Linked DNA regions of Mus musculus. The protein of the gene in region 3 interacts with the protein of the main gene of each other region in a pairwise test. Links are inferred from orthologs where the notes say so. Each region holds a gene or a part of one and is shown on either strand. Other genes may lie near its edges. The genes, in order: Nck2, Stac, Nckipsd and Psmd9.

What was found.
Region 1: the proteins of Nckipsd (region 3) and Nck2 interact in binary tests that used the Homo sapiens proteins (3 or more experiments, as listed by UniProt). The two-hybrid records come from large-scale screens. The link is inferred for Mus musculus from reciprocal best matches to the Homo sapiens genes NCKIPSD and NCK2.
Region 2: the proteins of Nckipsd (region 3) and Stac interact in binary tests that used the Homo sapiens proteins (3 or more experiments, as listed by UniProt). The link is inferred for Mus musculus from reciprocal best matches to the Homo sapiens genes NCKIPSD and STAC.
Region 4: the proteins of Nckipsd (region 3) and Psmd9 interact in binary tests that used the Homo sapiens proteins (3 or more experiments, as listed by UniProt). The two-hybrid records come from large-scale screens. The link is inferred for Mus musculus from reciprocal best matches to the Homo sapiens genes NCKIPSD and PSMD9.

What each region holds. Positions count from the first base shown.
Region 1 is NC_000067.6:43,443,890-43,449,501, reverse strand, and holds the start of Nck2 (cytoplasmic protein NCK2), read right to left. Parts: upstream 3,752-5,612; 5' UTR 3,475-3,751; intron 1-3,474. UniProt on the Homo sapiens protein: Adapter protein which associates with tyrosine-phosphorylated growth factor receptors or their cellular substrates. Maintains low levels of EIF2S1 phosphorylation by promoting its dephosphorylation by PP1.
Region 2 is NC_000075.6:111,633,955-111,639,110, forward strand, and holds part of Stac (SH3 and cysteine-rich domain-containing protein), read right to left. Parts: intron 1,132-5,156; coding exon 852-1,131; intron 1-851. UniProt on the Homo sapiens protein: Promotes expression of the ion channel CACNA1H at the cell membrane, and thereby contributes to the regulation of channel activity.
Region 3 is NC_000075.6:108,810,756-108,815,911, reverse strand, and holds part of Nckipsd (NCK-interacting protein with SH3 domain), read right to left. Parts: intron 5,091-5,156; exon of another isoform or gene 5,010-5,090; intron 4,867-5,009; coding exon 4,757-4,866; intron 4,364-4,756; coding exon 4,159-4,363; intron 4,034-4,158; coding exon 3,943-4,033; intron 3,694-3,942; coding exon 3,203-3,693; exon of another isoform or gene 3,037-3,202; coding exon of another isoform or gene 2,893-3,036; intron 1,964-2,892; coding exon 1,793-1,963; intron 1,648-1,792; coding exon 1,561-1,647; intron 1,483-1,560; coding exon 1,344-1,482; intron 1,246-1,343; coding exon 1,165-1,245; intron 985-1,164; coding exon 856-984; intron 753-855; coding exon 660-752; intron 566-659; coding exon 393-565; intron 1-392. UniProt on the Homo sapiens protein: Has an important role in stress fiber formation induced by active diaphanous protein homolog 1 (DRF1). Induces microspike formation, in vivo. In vitro, stimulates N-WASP-induced ARP2/3 complex activation in the absence of CDC42.
Region 4 is NC_000071.6:123,225,794-123,231,713, reverse strand, and holds the start of Psmd9 (26S proteasome non-ATPase regulatory subunit 9), read right to left. Parts: upstream 3,525-5,920; 5' UTR 3,408-3,524; coding exon 3,270-3,407; intron 1-3,269. UniProt on the Homo sapiens protein: Acts as a chaperone during the assembly of the 26S proteasome, specifically of the base subcomplex of the PA700/19S regulatory complex (RC).

The DNA.
Region 1 (5,612 bases), on a different chromosome or scaffold from region 3:
CTTCAGGCTGTGGAAAGGGGGACATAAAGGAATTTTGTGGGTTTTGTTTTTAGGTTTCACTGCAGAACTACAAATGACTTGCCGTGCAAGAGAATTTACCAAATAAAGGCCACCAGATCACATTCCCTCACTGTCTCAAAAGTCTTAGAGACCAATGTTGTGGTGTGGTCGTTGTGACTCTGAGCAGAGCCTAAGATTCTGATTTCATCACCAACCTCAATGACACAGGTCAGAAATCAACAAGGTGCTAAGAAATGTGTTGTCACACATGAACTATGGATCAAATGCTATGATCAACACCTTCCAGCCTATACCAGGGTAAGAAATAATGAAGACAACTAGGAAGAAGGTCACAGATGTCCAAAGGAAACCACCAAGAAAGATCTGTTGGATGTCCCAGGACACAGTTATTGCCTCTTAGTTGAGAAGGAAGATGGTGAAATACAGGAGAAAAATGGCCCTTCAAAAAGATGATGAAATTTAAGACAGCCATATAATCTGGGAAAGGGACCTTTGGCTACTCACAAGTACTAGTCAGAGATGGAAATACCAGTGTGACCCTAGCGTGGTACTGCTATGTCGATCTAAAGAACAGTTTTCACTGTCATGGCCTGGAGGACTGAGAATTTCAGGTGGAAGTGAACTCCAGGGGAAAGAAAGGGCGGGAAGTGGGGTGGGAACTGGGGTGCCGAGGACATGATTCTCTTACCATCATGTTCTCTGTGCTTTGTGCAAAGTGAATTGCTGAAAATTAAAAGTCTTTTTAAAAATTACACTACTCTGATTGCCTAAAGAAATGCATTGCGGGGCGTGGTGTTGCACGGCTTTAATCCCAGCACTCGGGAGGCAGAGGCAGGCGGATTTCTGAGTTCGAGGCCAGCCTGGTCTACAAAGTGAGTTCCAGGACAGCCAGGGCTACACAGAGAAACCCTGTCTCGAAAAAACAAACAAACAAACAAACAAACAAAAAAAAAACAAAAAACACCATGGCTGCATACCTCTGATAGCTTGTTTTAAAAGGCTGCCTAACTTACACAGAACAGCACACAAATGGCATCATTGTTTTTTCACATATGTCCTTTGAAAACACCTTGAGAAATGTTTCTATCACTCATTTTTTTAGGAAAGAGAAACAATTCCAAAGCAACATTTGAAGTCCCTCTGGATGGGAAAATGAATTTCCTAAGTCTCTATGGGAAGCTTCCCGGTCCTTTTGTAAGAAATGTTAGCTTACAAGTTTCCCCAACCACTGTTCCCTACACTGCTCTGCACTTGCAACAAGCAGTCTTGAATTCTTCAGTCATTAAGGCTCATTATGAACATCAGAAAATCATTTCCACGAGCCTCATCAGCCCCAGTGCACACTGCAAGCCAGTCAGTTAGAAGCATGTGTGCCCTACAAAGCAACCAAGCCCAGTCTTGCCAGGGCAAATTAAGCTAATGCAAATGATCAAATAAAGGACTACAGGTCACTATGCAATCAGTGACTATCGGGCTGTTTTCAAGGGGTCATTCGGTCTGCTCCAACAAGGAAAGCTCTGGAGAGATTTAGCAAGGATGAGAGCACATTTCTCAAACACCTGGGTGCTGCTGTTTGTCAGCAATGTTCAGTACCCCAATGTTCAAGACAGAGGTCAGGAATAAGCCCGGATCAAAGAGAAAGGGAGGAAGAAGACTGAAGCAAGGACCCATGGGGAAAGCAAAACTGAAAGCCTGGAAATGGACTGAAGAGCCTACAAGGAGTTGGAAACCACCTTTTATAAGTTCGACCCATTTTAAAGGGGGTCAGTCGTCTCTCCATCGGTGGGCAAATCGCCTATCAAGTGTCCAGAGCTCACATAGCAACTTCCAACCCTGAAACTGGGGCTCTGTTCAAGCACGTGTAAGAAACTGAGAGCAAGACAGGCAGTAAGCTGTAAGTCAAAGCTTTACAGCTGCACAAAGTTCTCATTTCAGCTTCAGGTCACTGGGACCTTTACGTTCTTCAATCAAAACTACGCTAACCTACCAGGAGGTGAGAAAGTTTAAGGGAGGATTGTCACTTGTGGTCACTTAGGAAAGACCCGAAGGTGTAAAACCTTATCTGTCTAAAGTGCACTTTCTCCATTGTGTTCACTGGCTGCCTTCGCTACATAAACCAGGCACATGCACGAGAAAGTCCGGTTTCTACCTCTGTATCTATAAACACTTGGAAAGTGAATGGAGGGAGTGCCCACAGCACAGTTGAGATGTTCTGATAAAGTAGTGACCTTTAGACTAGAAAAACCACAGTTGCTAACTATACCAAAAAAAAAAAAAAAAAAAAAAACCCAGGCTGGAAACACACCCAAAATTATTCTCATTCCTCCTCAAAATCTCTGCAGAAAAGCCTGTATTGGGAGAGGAGCAGAGAAGTCTCCAGGGGAGGATACCAGCAAGCCACGCCCACTGGCCAACGGGCTGTTTCTTTTTGGGTCAACCAAGGAGCAGGCCTGTGCACCTCCAGCCCAAACTCGGACCTGTTCATCCCACACACAGACGCAAACTTGGCAAGACTGGCCTTAAACCTGTTAGCAAAATAAGGAGAGCCAAATAAGGAGGAAGCGGCCAACCTGAATGGGTTAGGGTGGCAGGGCCCACTCCACTTGGCACCCAGCTGTGTCCCCAAGCTGTTCACAATACTACTGTAAGTCACCTCTGCTATCCATTAACCACCACCCGCGCACACCTTCCGGGAGGATCGCTGTTGTGTATAAATAACAGCGTTTTGCAAATCAAACCTCTCCACACAATGCCAAGCTAACAGCGCTCAAAAGGGAGGTGCCACCGGGGCATTAAAAGTCACACATCAAATTCTTGCAGAACCACTTGCTTAAATCGCCCTGAATAAATAAACTGAGGGGGCAGAGCAACCGGGAAAAACTTTGGTTGAGGAGGTTTAAGTCTTGGAAATGCGGGACCGGGCGCAGGGACTGGAAGGAACCAGGCACAAAAGCGCCCTGCGCCGAGGCAAGGACCTCCTTTATGGAACGTGACAGCAGCTTTGTGCCGGATCACGAATAGTTCTAAATACTGGAAGTTCTCCCCGGCCATCGCAGCCTCCCGCTTCCTAGCGCTGTGGCCCTCAGATCCCAGGCTATTCTTCCCAGGCACGCGCGCCCGGCGACCTGGCCACTGTTCGGTCCCACGCCCGCCCACAGGCCAGGGCTGCTAGTGTTCCCGAGGGCTTTGGGTCCTTGGTCCCCGGAGTCCGCCCGCGGAGGGCGCCCCACCCCCACGCCAGCCCCAGGCAGAGGGAGGCGAGGGCTCGCAGGAAGGTGTGTGTATCCGAGGTGCGGGTGCCCGGGGACGCCAGGCCGCGGCGGGGCTGAGGGCACCGGCCGGGTACGCAGGGGTACGCGCTCCCTGGCCCTCCCCGGGCGGCCGCGGCCCGCTCGCCCCTCTCTTCCAACTCCACGGACCGGCCCAAGTTTGCAGCCCCCGCCATCGCCTTACCTCGCCGCACAGTGCACGCCGAGGCCGGAGGGCAGCAGCGCGAGTCCCGGGGCGGCGGCCGCGCTGCGCCCGCCCAGATGCCGCTCTTTGTCTGCACCGCTCCCTCCTCCCGCCACCAAGCGGACGCAATTGGACCCGGCGGACCCCGCCGGCCCGGGAGCCCCGAGCCTGCCTGCCGCCGAGCCCTCCTCACCACCACCGTCGCCGCCGCCGCCCGCTCGGCCGCGCGCACCGGCCTGCGATCCGCGGCGGCGACCCTCCCGCGCAGCGCCCGCCTCCGCGCGCTCCCCGCCCGCGCTCCTCCCTGGCTGCCGTGACGCCGCCCAGGGGCCGGCCCAGCCCGGCGCACGCGGGGCGGGGGACCCACCTGGGAGTCCCAGCCAGGCCTCGGGAAAGCGCCGCCTGGGGGCTTCAAGCCGTAACCCGCTCTAGATTGGAGCTGGGGGCACCCGGGAGGGGCTGCTAGGGATAAGGAGGTGCCACTTGCAGCCCACGAGACCGGGTGGTCTCCGCACCCGGCTGTGCGTCGGGAGCCTTACAGCGACCTCCCTACCCCGCCCCCCAAGCATTCCCACGGCACTCTCAGCCAAACAGGCCTGGTGTCTGTCAGAAAAGTGACTTACATAAAAATGTCACTTCCTCCCAGTAATTGCTTGTGGGCATTTTCTTTATTTATTTGCCTTGCATTTATTTACTTTCCCATCCAGACACTTTTTTACTCCATCCCCCCCACCCCCAACCTCCAGGCGGGACCACTTCCTAGTGGGGGAGGAGAGGAAACCCGACCTCAGCTGCCTCCGCAGCGTCCTGGCCAGTTTATTAGAGCCCAGGAATTCTTTAGTACAGGAGGCTGAGAAAGCTTTAGAAGGAAACCTTGCTCTCCCAGACTTGAGTAGTAGCTAACCTATAAGCAAACTTGGAAAGCTAGAACCCTGGATCGAAGAGAAGGACTGGATCCAGAGGTTTCTTCTCCAAGCTCCTTCGCTCCTTATACCCCAAAGGAACCCCTGATATTCAAATAAATTCCGCTTTCAGGTCGGACGACTCACATTTATGTTAATGAGATTCAACCCTAGCCCTTGTTTCCTCCTTATTAAGGCAGAAACAATTCACCCTACGTAACAAAAAAAGAAAAAGAAAGAAAGAAAAGTTGCCTGCCTTCTTATAGGAAGTTCCCAGGCATAAGTAACGTGAGGAAGCTTGGCTATAGTCCTCGCAGCCATTGACCGTAGGCTCCTGAACTGTGTCACCTTACACAGGTGTTTCACAACTTCCTCGGCTTTATCACATGAGATGTTTACCTGCCTTCTATGTTAAGTACCTGGCACGTAGCCTGACACGAGGGCACTAGGAGGCATCCTGTACAAAATCAGCACACCCAACAGTCTCTTCCAGTCGGAGATGCTAGCTTCATCCGTTCTTTGTTACAGACCTCATCTTTGTTACTATCTAGCTTTACAACAATGAAGGCAGAACTCTAACCAATAGTTTAGCCCTACTTAAAATTAGTTTATGCTAAATAAGTAAGACGATATGGACACAGTTTTTAAGCTTTTGCTTTGAAAAGTGGCCTCAGACTCCTCTCACTGATTCTGTATAAGATCTCCAGGGAGATTTGAACAAGAAGGACTCCCCTTGGCTCATATATTTGCAGGCCAGTTAGTAAACTATTTAGATTAGGAGGGTATGTCCTTGTTGGAGGAGATGAGTCACTGGGAGTAAGCTTTGAACTTAGCCAGCACCTGTGTGTCTGGGTGTCTGTGTGCTTGCTGCACAGTGGATCAGAGTATAGCTCTCAGCTACTTCCCTAGCAACATGCCTGGCTGCTACCAAGCTTCCCACCGTGATGACAGTGGACCAAGCCACTGGAATTGTAAGCAAGCCCCCAATTAAATCCATAGATGATAGATCAGTGTGTGTGTGTGTGTGTGTGTGTGTGTGTGTGTGTGTGTGAGAGAGAGAGAGAGAGAGAGAGAGAGAGAGAGAGAGAGGTGTCTTAGGTTTTTTTTCCACATTTTTTTTATTACGTATTTTCCTCAATTACATTTCCAATGCTATCCCAAAAGTCCCCCATACCCTCCCCGCCACTCCCCTACCCACCCATTCCCACTTTTTGGCCCTGGCGTTCCCCTGTACTG
Region 2 (5,156 bases), about 2.8 Mb from region 3:
CTTCCATCATCTCAGAGAGCTAAACTACTGTAGGTCCAGAGGCAATTGGTCTTGGGCTATCTTTAGTTTCCCAGTCATTAATAACCCACCTGTGTTTGACCTACCAGCCTTGTAAGACTTGGAGGTAAAGACCTCTCAGAATATATGTTGACCTTAAACTTCCTCCATCCCAAAGGCTGAAGATGTCACAGATCAGATCACATCTGAGGTTGATACCTGAAACTCCCTGCTTTTCTGTGACATGCTGACCACACCCATATATTTGAAAAAAAAATCCCTTGATTTATAGCTTTCATGAACCATTGACTCATAGTATCGGGGTAGCCTAAATCTGTATTCCTGGGACCATGGTCACTAATATTTGACGTTAGAAGAAACTGTCTCTTAGTCTCTTTTACATTGACACACCCCTTAACTGGACCTTGACAAGGATGAGGGAACCAGAGAACATTCTGCCTTCCTGGCCTCATAGCCATCACTGAGGCATCCAGTTTCAGTGATGACAGGTACAAACATCTCAGGTCTCTGGTGCCTACCTGGAATAACAGGCTCAGGCAGGTATACGTGGGCCACATACAGAAAGGGTATGAAGGGAACCAGGCTTCTGGTGGACGATGCCAGCTGCTGTCTTGGTTCCAACCATATTCCAAACTAATTCTCCCTCCACCTAGCCCTGTTTGCCTTTGCTTTGGGTAAGGCCCCTCCATCATGGCCACTCCCCACATTGACCTTCTTACATTTAACTCTCTGAAGCTCAGAGCTGGTCTATGGGTCCCCTGAACCTGGGCCTCCAGCTCTCATTCCTTTTCCCAAGGACATTGTACCTGTAGGGGTGGGGGTAGGGGTCTTACCCACGATCATGTGGTTGCAGACATCACAGAAGGTGGGCTTCTTAAAGACATGCTCCTGAAAGGCGTGGAGCTTGCTGTTGCTGCCGGGGTGCAGGCCAGCCTTGGTGGGCATGGACGCTGGGCTTCCAGGGATGGCTATTGGGCTGGGGCCTGGGCTGGCCTTGGCCAGCAGGTCTGCTTGCGGTTTCACATCACTGTTGGTTCTTGGGAAGAAGTTGTCAGCACTTTTGCTCCGCAAGCTCTTGGTCTTGAAAGAAAGTGACCGTTTTAGTTTCTGGAGCTGCAAGGCAATGACAGGACAGCCTCTCTTATGATGGGTCCTGTGACTCCTGTGGGGGATGCAGCCAGCTCTGCCCTAGACCCCATGTATACCTGGGAAGTTCTGCCAGGCCCCAGGGCGGGCAGTCCAAGGCTGGTGGATACCTGAAATGGGACTCAGTAGTTCATCCTGTATCCCATAAGCTAGTGAGCAGGGAGAGGCTCCACATGACCCATTCCACCATCTTCCTTCCCAGCCTTGCTTTCTTAGGCCCCACCAATGTGCTGCCTGAAGTCCCAGGACACAAGTCTCAGGACCCTGGGATTTTGACCTTTTGTCTTGAGTTTTCATAGTTGGAAGTGAGGTATGAACTCCTGGATACCAAGGCTGTGTGTTATACTGTCTTCTCTCTTGTACGGCCAGTCAGTAGTTATTTGTCTCTAAGGACAGTAAAGTATACAAACAATGTCTCCCTCTGACTTGACATTAATCTGGCTAAATGGTCTCCAGGACACAAACCAGAAGCTTGCTAGTCTGCTTGTACCTGAAACATGTGGAAAGAAGCATGTACAGTGTTTAAGACATGCCTGTATGCCCACGTGGTATGTGTGTGTGTAGTATATGCATGTGAATAGTGTATGTACATGTGTATTTGTACAAGTATGTGTGTTATATATGTGGTATGTATGTATGAATATATATGCACATACCTGGGTGTATGTGGTATGAGGGACTGTGAGGTATGTATGTGATACATGTTTATGTATGTGGTGTGTGTTTAAGACTTAGTATTTCAAAAGCCTTGCTTAGCTCTCCTGGCCCTTCAGGTGTCCTTGCCCTGCTTTTCAGCCTCAGTAAACTAGATCATTTCTCTCTTGCCTATGGGACTTATGGTGAGCCACCACATGGATTTGGAAGGGTGCTCACAGGACTTGAGTCCAGTCTGCATTGCTAATCTGACCATGCAGGAGGAAACTTCTGGACGCACAGATGTGAGCGCAGGAGCTTTGCGCTTAAAATCCTCTGAGGACTTCCCTTCTTCTTAGGCATAAAGAGCAGCTTTGGCTGAATGTGGCACTGCAGGCCTAGACCCCTAGCTACTCAGGAGGCTGCAACTCTCAGATCACATGGCCTGCAGAGTGAGTTTGGGTCAGCTTTGGCAAGTCCACGTCTTGAAAATTAAATAGTGAGAAAACAAGGCTGAAGATCCAGCTCAGTGGTAGAGTGCCTGCCTGGCTGGGTAAAACGCTAGGCTCGGTCCCTGCACTAAAATCACAAAGGGTCCAGCTCCTGCTGCTCAGACTCCTGGGCCCTTGGCACTGATCACAGTCTGCACCAACCTTGGCTTTGCTCAGTCTTGCCAGCTATCGTGGCTCTTGAAAAAATCTCTCAAGCATTTCATTATCAGCCCTTAGCACCCGCCTTTCTGCCACCCAGATAGAAGGAGTAAACAATGAACTAGCTGCATGGCTTTCAGGGGTCCATCAGCTTTGAGGTGGGCTCCTTTGGTTAAGTATTCATCTGGAGCCATTCTTGCTGTAGGCTATGCATGAAGGTACCCTGTGCTGACTGGAGTCTCCACACAGTGGGGCCAGGCTCCCTGAAGACAGTGAAGAAGAGCTGGTGGGGCAGTGTCAAGCCTGTCACCTCCCTCCCCACCTCTATCTTGACCTCAGAGGACAAGGAAGCCACTGCGGTCACAGAGCTGAGGTTCAGGCATAGCACAAAAAGTGTGTTCTTCTCACCTCCCAATGGTCTTGCCAATTTTCAGCGTGCTTTTGCAATAGACTGAACTCAGGTCATCTGGAACAGCAGCGAGTGCTCTTAACCACTGGCTGAATAGAGTCTATTTTCCACTCTGTGAACTTGCTGGCTGGAGGATTTGTCTGGTTTTAGGGATACAGATGAGACGAGATCTTATATCATAGCCTAAGCTGGCTTCGAACTTACGACACAGCCCAGATCGTCCTCAGACTTGCAAGATATCCTCTTCCCTCAGCCCGCTGCTGAGAGTTCAGATGTGAGCCACCAGGCATTTGAACTTTTATTTCACTTTAATGTCAGGCTGATGAGTGGGAATTAGCAAATAAAAGACACTTGTTATGAAGCCCAGAGACCTGAGGTCCATGCCTGGGACCCACGGGATGGGAGAACTGACTCACACAAGTTGTACTGTGACCACCAGCTGTGTGCTGTGGTGCACATGTACATACACAAGTGCAATTATATTCTAAAAAATTAACTATATATTCATTGAACATTGTACTATCATATAAGGACATTTCATACACGTATGTTATTGGTTCAACACATCCTCAAAACTAAGTTACATGTTCATTATCTATTCTAGATGTCTGGCAACAGAGGAACAGATGAGGAATGTGATTATGTGTATATATATATATATAATCTTTTTTGTCATAAAAATGAAAGTTATGTTATTTGAAAGAAAATGATGTAACTGGAGATAGTAATTTAGTAGTTAAGTAAATTAACCCAGTTTCAGAAAGAGAAATATCATGTTTTCCTTTACTTGGGATTTTTAGATTTTTATACAGAAGCATAAGAATCACGTGTGTATGTATGTATATATGTATGTATGTATGCATGTATGTATGTATGCATGTATGTGTGTATGACAAGTGTATGACCAATGCCAATAGGGAACAAAGAGAACTAATGAGAGAGAAGACTGTGTTGGTGTGGAGGAGAAGAGCTCTAAGCCAGTTTGAAGGCAGGACCCCCGTGGCTCCTTTGGAAGCCTGCCAAATGCTTTCAAGACCAAATGTATGATAACCTGAGAGACTGTGCAAAACAAGTCTCCTTCACCCAGGGAGTTCACTGACCTGAGCCATACCACCTCCTGCAAGACAAAAGGGGACTCTAGTGGAGACCACAACTTCCCAGCCAAGTTCCATGCAGATTATGCACCCTGCTCCCCACCAGAAATATGACGGTAGTTGATGCTATTAAGTTGCCCATCTGCTGTGCTGTGCTTACAGGACAGTGTATAACCAACACAGGAGCATAGGCCAGGACGGTGTTATTGGAGCCTCTGAGAAATGAAGGAGATCAAGTAACCAGGTCAAACAGCTCATGAAAAGCAGGTTCAACGTTAGCCTGCCTTCTGCTGACCTCAGGCTCATTCCTTTCTTGGTCAGTGAGTCTCCAGGTGTTGGTTAAGAGTGGAAGTTACACCAGGTCTCAGGAACATGGAACCTCTAATGGTCAGTGAGAATGGAGAAAGACTGTGATCTCCAGAAGTTTACACAGAAGTTGGTGCTTTCCTTCCTTGCCCTGGTGTGTGTGGGTGGACACCGTGTCAGGCAAGGGGGTCTGCCTGCTTCTAGAGCCAGAGATTTTGTTGGAAGGCAATGGGACATTTCTTATTGAAATGGACTGCTTGAAAGACACGCCTACCTGGATGAGGGAGAGATCCCCTCATGCCCCCCTCCCCCCTCACCACCTGCCCCAGGTAGGAGACCTGGCACTGGGGTCATAAGAGCAGGAGAGAGAGCCCTGCCCTTCACTACCTGCAGGACTCAGGAGAGCAGGGCCCTGCACCTTGTCTGGGGAGCACAGTAGAGCTGATTGACCCTGGTGTGTGTGTGTGTGTGTGTGTGTGTGTGTGTGTGTTTGTGTGTTAGTGTGTGTGTGTGTTTGTGTGTGAAAAGACCTGAGTGGAGGAGGCCTGAGGGTATGAGCATGGGAGAGCTAGCCTCGACATTTGTCTACCATTCAGTGATATGGATGAGGGAGAGATGCCATGCACTCCGCCCCCCATACTCCTTGTTACCTATAGCAGGCAGGAGAGCCAGAGGTCGTCAGAGCCAGAGAGCAGACCCTGTACCTCACTTAGGTAACACAGTATAGCTGAACTTGATTGCTGGGGGCACAGGTAAGCCAGCTCAAGGGTGTGGCCATGAGAGAGCTGGGCCCTCAACTTGTCTGCAAGGAAGATGTGCATTTCCCCACACCTGCCCCTTGCCTCCTACAGCTGGCCTAGTGGCCTTGAGAGTGGGAGAACTGGTCATACCCTTCACCTT
Region 3 (5,156 bases):
GTTATCTTTCCCTAAGAAGTTCTTTGGGCCTCTTCCATTAACCATCTTCTATCCACCTACCTGCTCAAAACCAATCCCAAAGCAGGCTCTTCCGGGCCCACTTGCAACACACCCAAGCCTGGCCTACTTCACCACCCACTCCTGCCCCGGGCTTCCTGGCTTCCACTCTGCTCTCACAGGAAGGCAGTGTCTCTTCCTCTTCTGAAAAGCGATTCCAGCTCGCCTCAGACATCCTGCTCCAGTCTGCCACATACACGGCTGGCTGCCATGTCCTGGTTTCCGAGTAGTCTTCCACACTCACTTGGCCCTGGCAGCGGCAGCCCTGCCCCCTCATCTGCACTCAATGTCATAGTCACCCCTTTTGGTTAAGCTGCTGTGCGGCCCCCAGGCACCTTGTCTCCAGGTGACAGGTCTGCGATCTGGCGCACAGTGATGTCAATAAGCGCCATCATGTCTGTGTGGTAGAAGATGGCGGCTGTGGCAGAGCTGCTGAACACATCCTGCAGGAACTTGAGGACAGAGTGTGGTGGCTGGGGCTCATGTCTGAAGATACGCACAGGGTCGTCTAGAAGACAGGGGTTCACAGGAGTCAGAGGAGGGCACGTGACAGAGTCAAGTGTGTACGCAAGCGGCACCCATGCAGACTTCTAGGCTCTCACCCCCTCTGTTCAGAAGCAGAAGCAGCTTCTCAGAGAAGATCTTCACATTGGTGTGTCTGCTCAAGGCAGCCATGATGACATTCTGCTCAGGAGCTGCGGAGAGACGTGGATGGAGACAGGTAAGAGTGTAGGCACAGAAGCCCGCGAAGCCCGAAAAGCCCACTGCTCAGCTGCCTTCCAGATGGCCCCACCCCACCTGTCAGGTGCAGGTTGAGAGCCAGAAGCAGGTTCATGCAGAGGTCTGGCAGCTGCTCCGTGGTGTCCATTGGAAGGCCATCCTCAACGATGCTTAGTAGGAACTGGGCAAAGGGTGTACCCAGGTGTTCTAAAAGAGTAGCATAAGGAAATCTACAAATCCAACTTTTGCTCCCCATACGATCCAGCCTCCCTGGCTTTCTGTGAGCCTAAGAACACCATCTCTAGTCAGTAGGTCTTCAGGCCCTGGAGAGACGCATGGTTCTTACCTCTGGGGCCTTGTGCCCACTGCTTAGGGTTTGATTCTTACCATAGTGTGCGTAGGGTACCGCCTCTCCCATGGAGAAGACCATGGCCAGGACGAGGGCAGAGTAACAGAGCTTCTGGTGGTCTGGGGGTGGGGGGTAAGGAAGGAGTCAGCAAGGCCAGGGATCCCCGGCAGACGGTGAAAACAGCCTCCGAGTGGTAAGGAGGGCCACCCCACCTCACCCTGCGTGTCGGTCTGCATGTCCCGTGCCAATTCCACAGGCAGCACGGAAGACACCAGAGTGGAGATGATCGCTGCATCTAGGCTGCACATGGCACCGAAACACTTGAGGAGCAGCAGCCGTAGAGACGCTCGGTGTTCCTGGCAGAAGAACCCGTGTGCTAAGTGCCCTTACGTCTGCCCACATGCCTCTGTGCCCCTCCCTTGTCTTATACATACCATTTGGTAATAGGCCACCAAGGCTAGGACAGACTCAAAATCACTCCTTTTGCACATTTTCTTGCAAACTTCGGGATCTGCATCCGTCTGGAGGGAAGAGAAAGAGTGAGAGTCACCCAGTGTGAGGTGAGCATGCATGAGCAGAAGTGACCTAATGGCTGAAGGGTGATGGTCCAGGGGAGGCTCACTGCTCCCACGCCGGCAGGCCCGAGGGTCCGTCCCTGCCCCATACCAGGATGTGCAGCAGTTCTTCCAGATAGCAGCGGATGACGTCCTCGTCCTCGTACAGCGCCCAGCTGCGCTGCTGGGCGTCATCCTTTCTTCGAGCCAGGTCTGCAAAAATCACTTCCAGTCTCTGCTGGTCGTGGCAGACCTGCCCTGAGGGTAGGGCTGTGCTCAGGTCCTGTGGGGAGAAGGCAGGGTATGACTCAGTAAGACCTCTGCACACCACCAGCTCCAGGAAGCCTCCAAGACCTGGCCCCTCTAAGCTTAGCATTCTTTGAACTGAGGTCCCACAAAATTTACACTGTGTAGGCCAACTCCAGTTTCCACCTCCTGGTACAAGACTCTGCTCAAGGCTCAGCTGTGGGAATTCCCAACATCCCAGCTCCCACCCTGGAACTTGCTGAGCAGCTCCCAAGAGGCAGGAACGAACTCTGTCACTCCTTGAATGTGACTCAGGATCCATCCTCATCCCATTCCACACAATGTGACACCAGGCCTGTCATACTAGACACTAGCTGCTATGCTCAGCATAGGCACACAAAACACTGGCCTACTGCCCTCTACTCACTCCAACCAGATATCATAGGTGGAGCCTAAGTACCACCTTTGGCCCACTCAAACCCTATCGTAGTCAGGACTCACTACCGCGTTCCTTCTCCTAATGAGTGACCTACTTTTTTTTTTTTTCTCAGAGACACAGTTTCTCTGGCTGTCCTAGAATTTGCATTGTAAACCAAGATGGCCTCAAACCCAGAGAGCCACCTGCCTCTGCCTCCTGAGTGCTGGTATTAAAGGCGTGCAGCACCAGACCTAACACCAGTACCCTAACCTTGAGAAACGACCACAGTCATCTTGAAATGCCCACGTCACTCACTACCATCCAAGCTGGCACCTAAACCACTATCAAAACTAAGCAAGCGTCCATAGTTAACCAAGCCCCCTTTTCTCTACACCGTCAAGGCTGGCAAGGCACTGATCTCTCACCCCATGCTGTCTCGCTTCTTTCCCTGCATCCGGAATCACAGAAGGAGCACCAGTGGGAAACCCCTCCAGGTGATGGGAAGCTTCCCCTAGTCCCATCTCATCCTGGTCTCCCTTATCACCTGCCTTAGGCTCACCGGCTCCCACACTGCCTCTGATGCAGATATGCCATCCACCTTCTTCCTTCCTGTGAGCCATGCTTGGTCCTGTCTCTTGTTCCTTATAAGCTGAGTCTCTGTCTAGAACGTTCTTCCTCCCTTTCTCCTTCATGGGTCAACTCAAATGACTCTAGGACCCAGCACAGTAAAAGCCAAGGGCCAGAGCTTGACAAATACCTGTCACACAGCCTGGACAAAGGCGTGAGGGCAGGAGCGGGGTGGGATTAGCAGGCTGCCTGAGGGTGGGAAGGCTCCTTGGCCATGCTGCCCACCCTCACCTTGCCTTCTACCAGCGAGAGGAGGACCTGCTCCATGATAGGTGAGCTGGCTGGCACGGTGGCCTGGATGTGACCCACCACGACGCCGATGGCTACACGGCATAACTCATGGCTTAGACCGGTGTTTCTCCGCACGAGTTCCATCAGCTCTGCCCCAATGGTCCTTGGCACAACTGTCTCAGCGGCTGCCTTCTCCTCTGTGGTCTCTGGGCTCAGGGCATCCTGAGCTTCCAAGTCATCAGGGGTTGAGTTTGTCTCAGCTGCCACCTCCTCCGTAGGGGGCTCAGGGGATGGTGCCTTGGAGGGAGAGGGCTGGGGCTGGGACACAGTAGTGTGGGCCCCTCGGCGAGGTACCGGCGGGGGTGTGGGTGAGCAGCTGGGACCTAGCTCAGAGGGGCTGGAGCCAGTATAGAGTGTGTCCATGGAGGTGCTGCTGGCTGATGAGCCACTAGACACAGAACTACCTCCAGAGGGTATGGCTGTGCGGCCACCTGTGAACAAGAAGTAAAAGCTATGCTGGGGCAGCCTGTTGGGGAGCACCAAGCTTCTTGGCCTAGAGAACCTGACCCTAGTACAAGACCTAGTTCCTCTGTTAGGCCCTATCTCCTCACCAAGCCTGGAGGCCCCAAACAAACTCTATATTTACCCCATTCAGAGCTCCCATTTGCCCAACATGGGCAGAGCAACCATTCCAAGCGCAGGGTACTCCCATCCCAACTACCCAAGCCTGGCCCTCTCACCACTCCCTGAGATCACCAGGGCCTCACGGTCTCGGCGCTTCACCGGTGGGGGTGGGGTGGTAGGAGCTGCTCGTCGAGGCTGTGGTGGAACCTGAGAGAACAGAATTGAGATCTAGGGGAAGACAGCTGCTAGCTGCACCTGAGCAGACCCCTTGGGCCTCTGGATGAAGTCTTAGTCCCAGACACCTCCTTCTAAAAGATACCCTTACTCCATACCTGGTAGAGGGCTCCATCTGTCCCAAGATGCTCAGAACTGGGCAGGCTATGCTGCCGTTCAAACCCAGTTCGACACACCCCATTGGGCTGTCTAGATACAGCAGCGTCCAAATGGTGGTCACTGGTGGATGGGGTCATAACCGTAGCACTGGAAGCTGAGGTGCCTCTTCGAGACAAGGTTTCTTTCCGGTGATGGATAAGCTTCCTAATAGAGAGACAAACAGACCATGATGGGAAGGCTCCTCTCTACACCCAAAGTACACACACACATGCATACAACACACATGCATGCACACACAAATGCATGCACACACATGCATGCACACACATGCATGCACACACATACACACACACACATGCATGCACATACTCTCACACACATATACACTTTCTCTCATATATACACTTTAAAATAAATCTTTTTTTAAACCCCCTGCGGGATTCTGGGACCTCACAGTACAGGCTCCTCATCGTCCATCTTTCCCATCATTCATCCCACTCTGTGGAACCTCGCACTAACCCTAGTACTGCCTCCAGTGTCTCTGGCCCCACCAACACGCTCAAGGGAAGGTATTACCTCCACTTCCCAGATACTCACTGAAGGACTCCACGCTGTTCCAGGCTGTACTTGCCGCCATCTCGCATGGCTGTGTTGTGCACAGCCTCAATGGCACGGTCAATAGCTTGGAGGACATCTTGTTCCATGCCCTAAAGGTAGGTGGGTAGTTAGACCTGGGTGCCAAGTGGGATTGGTCAGCCCAGACCCAGCCCAATCTGGAACTAGCCTAGAATTCTGGACACTAGAAGACAGCCAAAATGGAATACAGAATGAAGTGGTCAAATCGTGTTACCTGGGACTCTGTGATGGTATTTTATAGTTTACATTTAGGGGCTTGCATACACAGGCTCTCGGCAAAGACAATTCTAAAAACCTATAGAGAGAAACCATAGGAATCCCAGATTGGGACCAGGAGTCCAAACCTAGTCTCTCCCTGGGC
Region 4 (5,920 bases), on a different chromosome or scaffold from region 3:
CAAAGCTCTCACTACAGCTATGTATGAACTTTTGGATGATATATTTGCAACAATCATAATATCAAATGAGGAATGGATTTTCTGAGTTCTATGTTAACTCTATGTTTACCTTTTTGAGAAACTGCCGAACTGTTTTTGGACAGCAGTTACACCATCTTACAGTTGTATGGTATTTCCAATTTCTCCATAGTCTCCTTAAGATATTACCCATATTCTCGTTATCCCCATCCTGGTGAGTATGAGGGAGTATGGCACTGTGATTTTAACTACACTGTGGCTGTTCAGCATGCTGGGCCTTTAAGAGTTCCTCTATGTGTGCAAGTGTTTTGGATCTACGGATAGATGTGCACCATGTGTGTGCGGTGCCTGCGGAGGTCAGAAGCGGCATCGGGTACCCTGGAAGTGCAGTTACCACGCATGTGTGAGTGCTGGGAACTGAACCCAGGTCCTCTGCAAGAGCACGTGGAGCTTTTAACCGATGTCCTGAATGTGTTCACCAGCTTCTCTATCAATCATATGTATTTAATTTAAGGACCATTCACTTAGACCCTCTGCCCTGTTCTCAGTACACTATCTGTGTATTTATGACTGTGTTTTATCGCTCCGTTTTCTATATCCCAGACACCAGCTTATGAGAGGATGTGCAACCACTTCCTTCCATCCTGTGGCTTCTCTTCTTATAGTCTTGACTACGTATTATGAAATAGGAGTTTTAATAGTGATATCTAATTTATCATTTATAATCTGTTTTTACTTTTATGTGGGGGAGGGACAGAGTTTCACATATGTAGTCTAAGCTGCATACTGAGAGCCTGTCTTTTTTTTTTTCTGTTTTGTTTTTTGAGACAGGGTTTCTCTGTGTAGCCCTGATTGTCCTGGAACTCACTCTGTAGACCAGGCTGACCACAAACTCAAGAGATCCACCTGCCTCTGCCTCCCAAGTGCTTAGAATAAAGAAATGAGACATCACCACCCAGCTGGGAGCCTGTCCCTAAAATAATAATAATAATAATAATAATATGAAATAAATCAGAGCAGACAAATTTTAAGATTCAAGCCCTCAGCAACCAAAAAAAAAAAAAATTAGCCAGAGGCAATTAACATACACTCTTACCTTATATTTAAGAGAAAATAGTTATAGTTTTTCCTCTTTTGATTTGGTTTCTAATAGGTTTGTGTGTATGCAGATGCCACACATGTGCCAGTCAGAGGATAATCTCAAGGGGGCATCTCAGGAACACTATCTACCTCCTTTGAGACATGCTGTCTCACCAGCCTACAGCTCATCAAACAGGCTGGACTGGCTGCCCATAAACCCGGGCATCTTCTGTCTCTGCCTGTCCAGTTGGGATCCCAGACATGGACCAGTAACAGCCTTGAGTTCTAGGGACCAAACTCAGGTCTTGAGGTCTCTGCGGTATGCATCCGACAAACCGAGCTATACTCCTAGCCTCCCCAAACGCTGGTTTGTTCAGACAGGGTCTTGCTGTTCCACTATATAGTCCTAGAGCTCACTGTGTAAAACAGACTGGCCCTGAACGTGTGGCAATCTCCATGCTTTTGCTTGCTTCGGGCTGCAGGTATGCAACACCACACCCAGCTAAATAGTAAAGGGTAGGCCAATACCAAAAGACAATACGTGAGATGTCTGATTCTACTGGAGTTAGGCAAGTTACTGCAGTTTAAGAAATTGCTTTTTGCCAGCCGATGGTAGTGCACGCCTTAAATCCTAGCACTTGAGAGGCAGAGGCTGGTGGATCTCTGAGTTCAGGACAGCCAGAGCTACAAAAAGAAACTCTCATTCGAAAAACAAGACAAAACAAAACAAAAAATTGCTTTTTATCTGTTTTAAGCTTTACCAAGCCGGAGGCCTGTGACTTTAAACAAGTGACTTCTCCTTTCATACACACACACAGATATATGTGTATACACACACACATATACATACATACATATACACATACATATATACACATATATGTGTATCCATACATACACAGATATATGTGTACACACACACACACACACACACACACACACGGGTTTTTGTGTTTTTTTTTCTTTAAAGAGATTTGTGTCTGTTTAAACGTCTCCACGGGCGTGTGAACTTACACAGTAGTAAATTCTGGATCTCAACTCCAGTCCTTATGATGGCCAGTGCCTTTAAACCACTGAGCCATCTCTCCAGCCCCTGACTCCGCCCCTTTGAGCTTCAGGGACACAAGTTAACAATACTGCTGTGACAGTTTCCTGGCACAGCACACATACAAGATAGTACCTTTCAGGCACATGGTCAGCACCTACCTGGCCTGTAGAACCTCTATATGACACCGTCATCTGGCACCCATCACCCAGATGTCATTGTGCCCAGCAATGAGTGTGATTTAGCCTCCCCTTCCTCTATACACTGACTTGGGGTTTTATGAAAAATATATCTGCTTAGGAGGTAAACAGATCACAGAGCCAACCATTCCCCCTTCCTAACTGGGCAAGCATTGGCTCCACTCTGGCCCTGTTTCCCCTTTTACAGTAAAGACAATGTGCTTAATCTGGCTCCACTTAAAAGAGCAATTAGCAGAGGTGAGGGTTTTCTTAAAATCCAGAGTCTTTTCCCTATCCCAATTAGAGTCTGCATTTCATTTTTACTTTTCTTTTTTGTTTTTTTTTTTTTTTTTTTTTTTTGGTTTTTTTTTGAGACAAGGTCTAATATAACCCAGGACAGCCTCGAGCTTACTATGTAGGCAAGAATAACCCTCAAGTCCTGATCCCCCTGCCTCCACTCTCTAAACGCTGGGCTTAAATAGGGATGCCTCCCCTGGCTACAACGTGCATTTTAACAAGATGCCCAATTAATTCTCCCAGTTGACATTTATAAAGTCCTAAAGAAAAGCGGGTGGCGAGGCCAAACCTGGTAATGTCACCTACAGAAAGTGACAGTAGCGATTATCACTATGCCTCAGCAAATAGTCTATCCTTGCGACCGAGGCAGTTTCACTAAGGCCTATATCATGGTTGCACAGGCCCGCGATTCCCGCACTCAGAAAGATGAAGCAGGAGGATCACGAGTTCGAAGCCAGCTTAGGGGCTGCGTTAAAAACAAACAAACAAAAAACTTTAAAATGCAAAGTTAATGCTTCCGAAAATGAAAATTAATCCCACGTAAAGAAAAAATGCTTAAAGGGGCGTGTGGCACGCAGCAAAGACCCCCTCTAGGACACTGCTTGGCAGCGACCCCGAGCCTCGTCCGCAGGCCTCCCCGCCACACTCACGCTCTCCAGGACGTCGTAATTAGCCTTGATCTCCGCCTCGATCTCCTCCTTGCGTCGCATCAGATCCTGGATGTCGCTGACCGCGGCCGCACGGGCCTCGGAGGACTCTGCCCGGTGCGGAACGTCTTCACCCGACATCGCGGACCTCAAGCTAGAGTTCTGGGTTTCCCGGCTACGGACGCCAGCCGAGGCTGAGGCTACGGGTCCTCCCCGGGGCCAAAACAGCTCAGCCAACGCGCAAGTACGGAAACAGATGAAGGGTGGAGCTTGGAAGTGGGCGGGGTCACCGGCTAGATAGACCACGTGGTTTTCAGATGACCCGGTAGAGATAAATAGGCCCATAGAGGACATAGGTATTTACTCCCACTTTATCCTGACTCATTTCCACTTTTCTTGTTCATTCCTTTCTTTTTCATTCTGTCCCCGTCCCTCCATCCGTCCGTTTCCCCACCCCCCCACCCCACCCCGTTTTTCAAGACAGGGTTTCTCTGTGTATCCCTGGCTGTCCTGGAACTCACTCTGTAGACCAGGCTGGCCTCAAACTCAGAAATCCTCCTGCCTCTGCTCCCAAGTGCTGGGATTAAAGCCACCACATCTGGCTTACACTTTTTTTCATTCACTCATCTGAAGGCTGAGTAAACTGGATACCAGCTGTATAAATGTAAGAGGATCCAGTCTTGCCAACCTTGACACTTCAGTTCTTAACATCTACGAAGCCCCTGAGTGTTTGAAAGAGGCTTTCAAGCGATTTGTTTTTTGTTTTCTGTTTCTTTTCTTTTTCTTTTTCCAGACAAGATTTACTGCATCTCAGGCAGGCCTCTAACTCATTGTGTAGATGAAGGCGACCTTGAAGCTCTCCCCAAGTTTTTAGAATATTCTATTTCTTATTGTCATGATCACAGACACCCTCTAACCCCCCACTCCCATTCTATCCATTTCGCACCTCCCTCAACCTATCCTCATCAAAACTTCAAGACCTTTTTTTTTTTCCTTCTTTATAACCTAGTGTGCCCAGTGCCTTTGAGCATCTGATACTCCATCTGCTCCCTCCACAGGCAGGGATTACAGGCATGTACCACCAGGTATGGTTTATGAAATATTGGGGATCAGGAACACTCTACCAACTCAGCTATATCCCCAGCCACTTTCGGGCTGGGGATCCTCATGGTACAACCTATGTTCAAAGTTGGACCATTAACACCGACTATATATATTCCATGTGACCTTAAATAATTTCACCTTCTGCTCTCTGACCTTATTGTGTGACACTAACAGTAATATCTCTCGCTCTTTTTTTTCATTTTTATTTACTAATTTATTCCCTTTGGATCCTGATCAGAGTACACACACCCTAGCAACGTGTCTCTTAAGGGTGTCCAAGTATTTATTGACTTTCACCTCTGTCACGAGGTGCTGGTGTAACAGGCCCCCAGACCTTAGTACAACCGACTCCATAAAGAAAGTACCACTCAGGCTGGAAAACACAGCACACAGACAGCACCACCTGCCAAAACTAAAACAAAGCCGGAAGCCATCCAAGTCCACAGCTGTGGGAAAGTCTCTCCATGCACGAACCTTGCTTTTTGGCTTCAGTGGTTGTGCTCCTGGCTAATTGCTCTTGTGAACTAAGGTATATCACCCCAGGACCCGGTTTTTGTGCTCAAAAAGCTTACCCTGAAAAAGGCTCAGTGCTCCACTGGGGTCCCAAACACTTAGTGTTGTACTGGCTCACTAATAAAGACTATCAGATTAAAACTCTATCTGAGCAGTCTCCTCTCATGAATTCCCCACAAGACTGAAGTGGTAAAGAATATGAAACTGTGTCAGGCCTCTATAAATGTAGGTAAACATAGAAACTGGGGTGTGGGGTAGAGAGATGGTTCAGAGGTTAAGAACATACTTAAAGCTCTTGCAGAGGGCCTGGGTTCCCAGTACTTACATGGAAGCTTACAACTGTCTGTTACTCTAGCTCCAGGGTCTCCAATGCCCTCACCTGACCTCCACAACCATCCAGCACGCACTTAGGACACATACGTATATGCAGGCAAAACACTTGCACACTGTCTTAGTTAAGGTTCTATTGCTGTGATAAAATAGCATGGCTGTGTTAGTCAAGGTTTCTATTCCTGCGCAAACATCATGACCAACAAGCAAAGTGGGGAGGAAAGGGTTTATTTAGCTTACACTTCCACAACAATGTTCATCACCAAAGTCAGGACTGGACCTCAAGCAGGTCAGGAAGCAGGAGCTGATGCAGAGGCCATGCAGGGATGTTCTTTACTGGCTTGCTTCCCCTGGCTTGCTCAGCTTGCTTTCTTATAGAACTAAGACTACCAGCCCAGAGCTGGCACCACCCACAAGGGGCCTTTCCCCTTGATCACTAATTGAGAAAATGCCTTACAGCTGGATCTCATGGCGGCACTTCTCCAGCTGAAGCTCCTTTCTCGGTGATAAATCCAGCCCGGGTCAAGGTGACACAAAACCAGCCAGTACAAAGGCCAAAGCAATGTAGGAAGGAAAAGCTTCATCTGGCTTACGTTTCCTTATATAACTGTTCATCATTTAAGGAAATCAGGACAAGAATTCAAACAGTGCAGGAGCCTGGAGGCAGGAGCCAATGGAGGTGTGCTGCTTACTGACTTGCTCCTTGT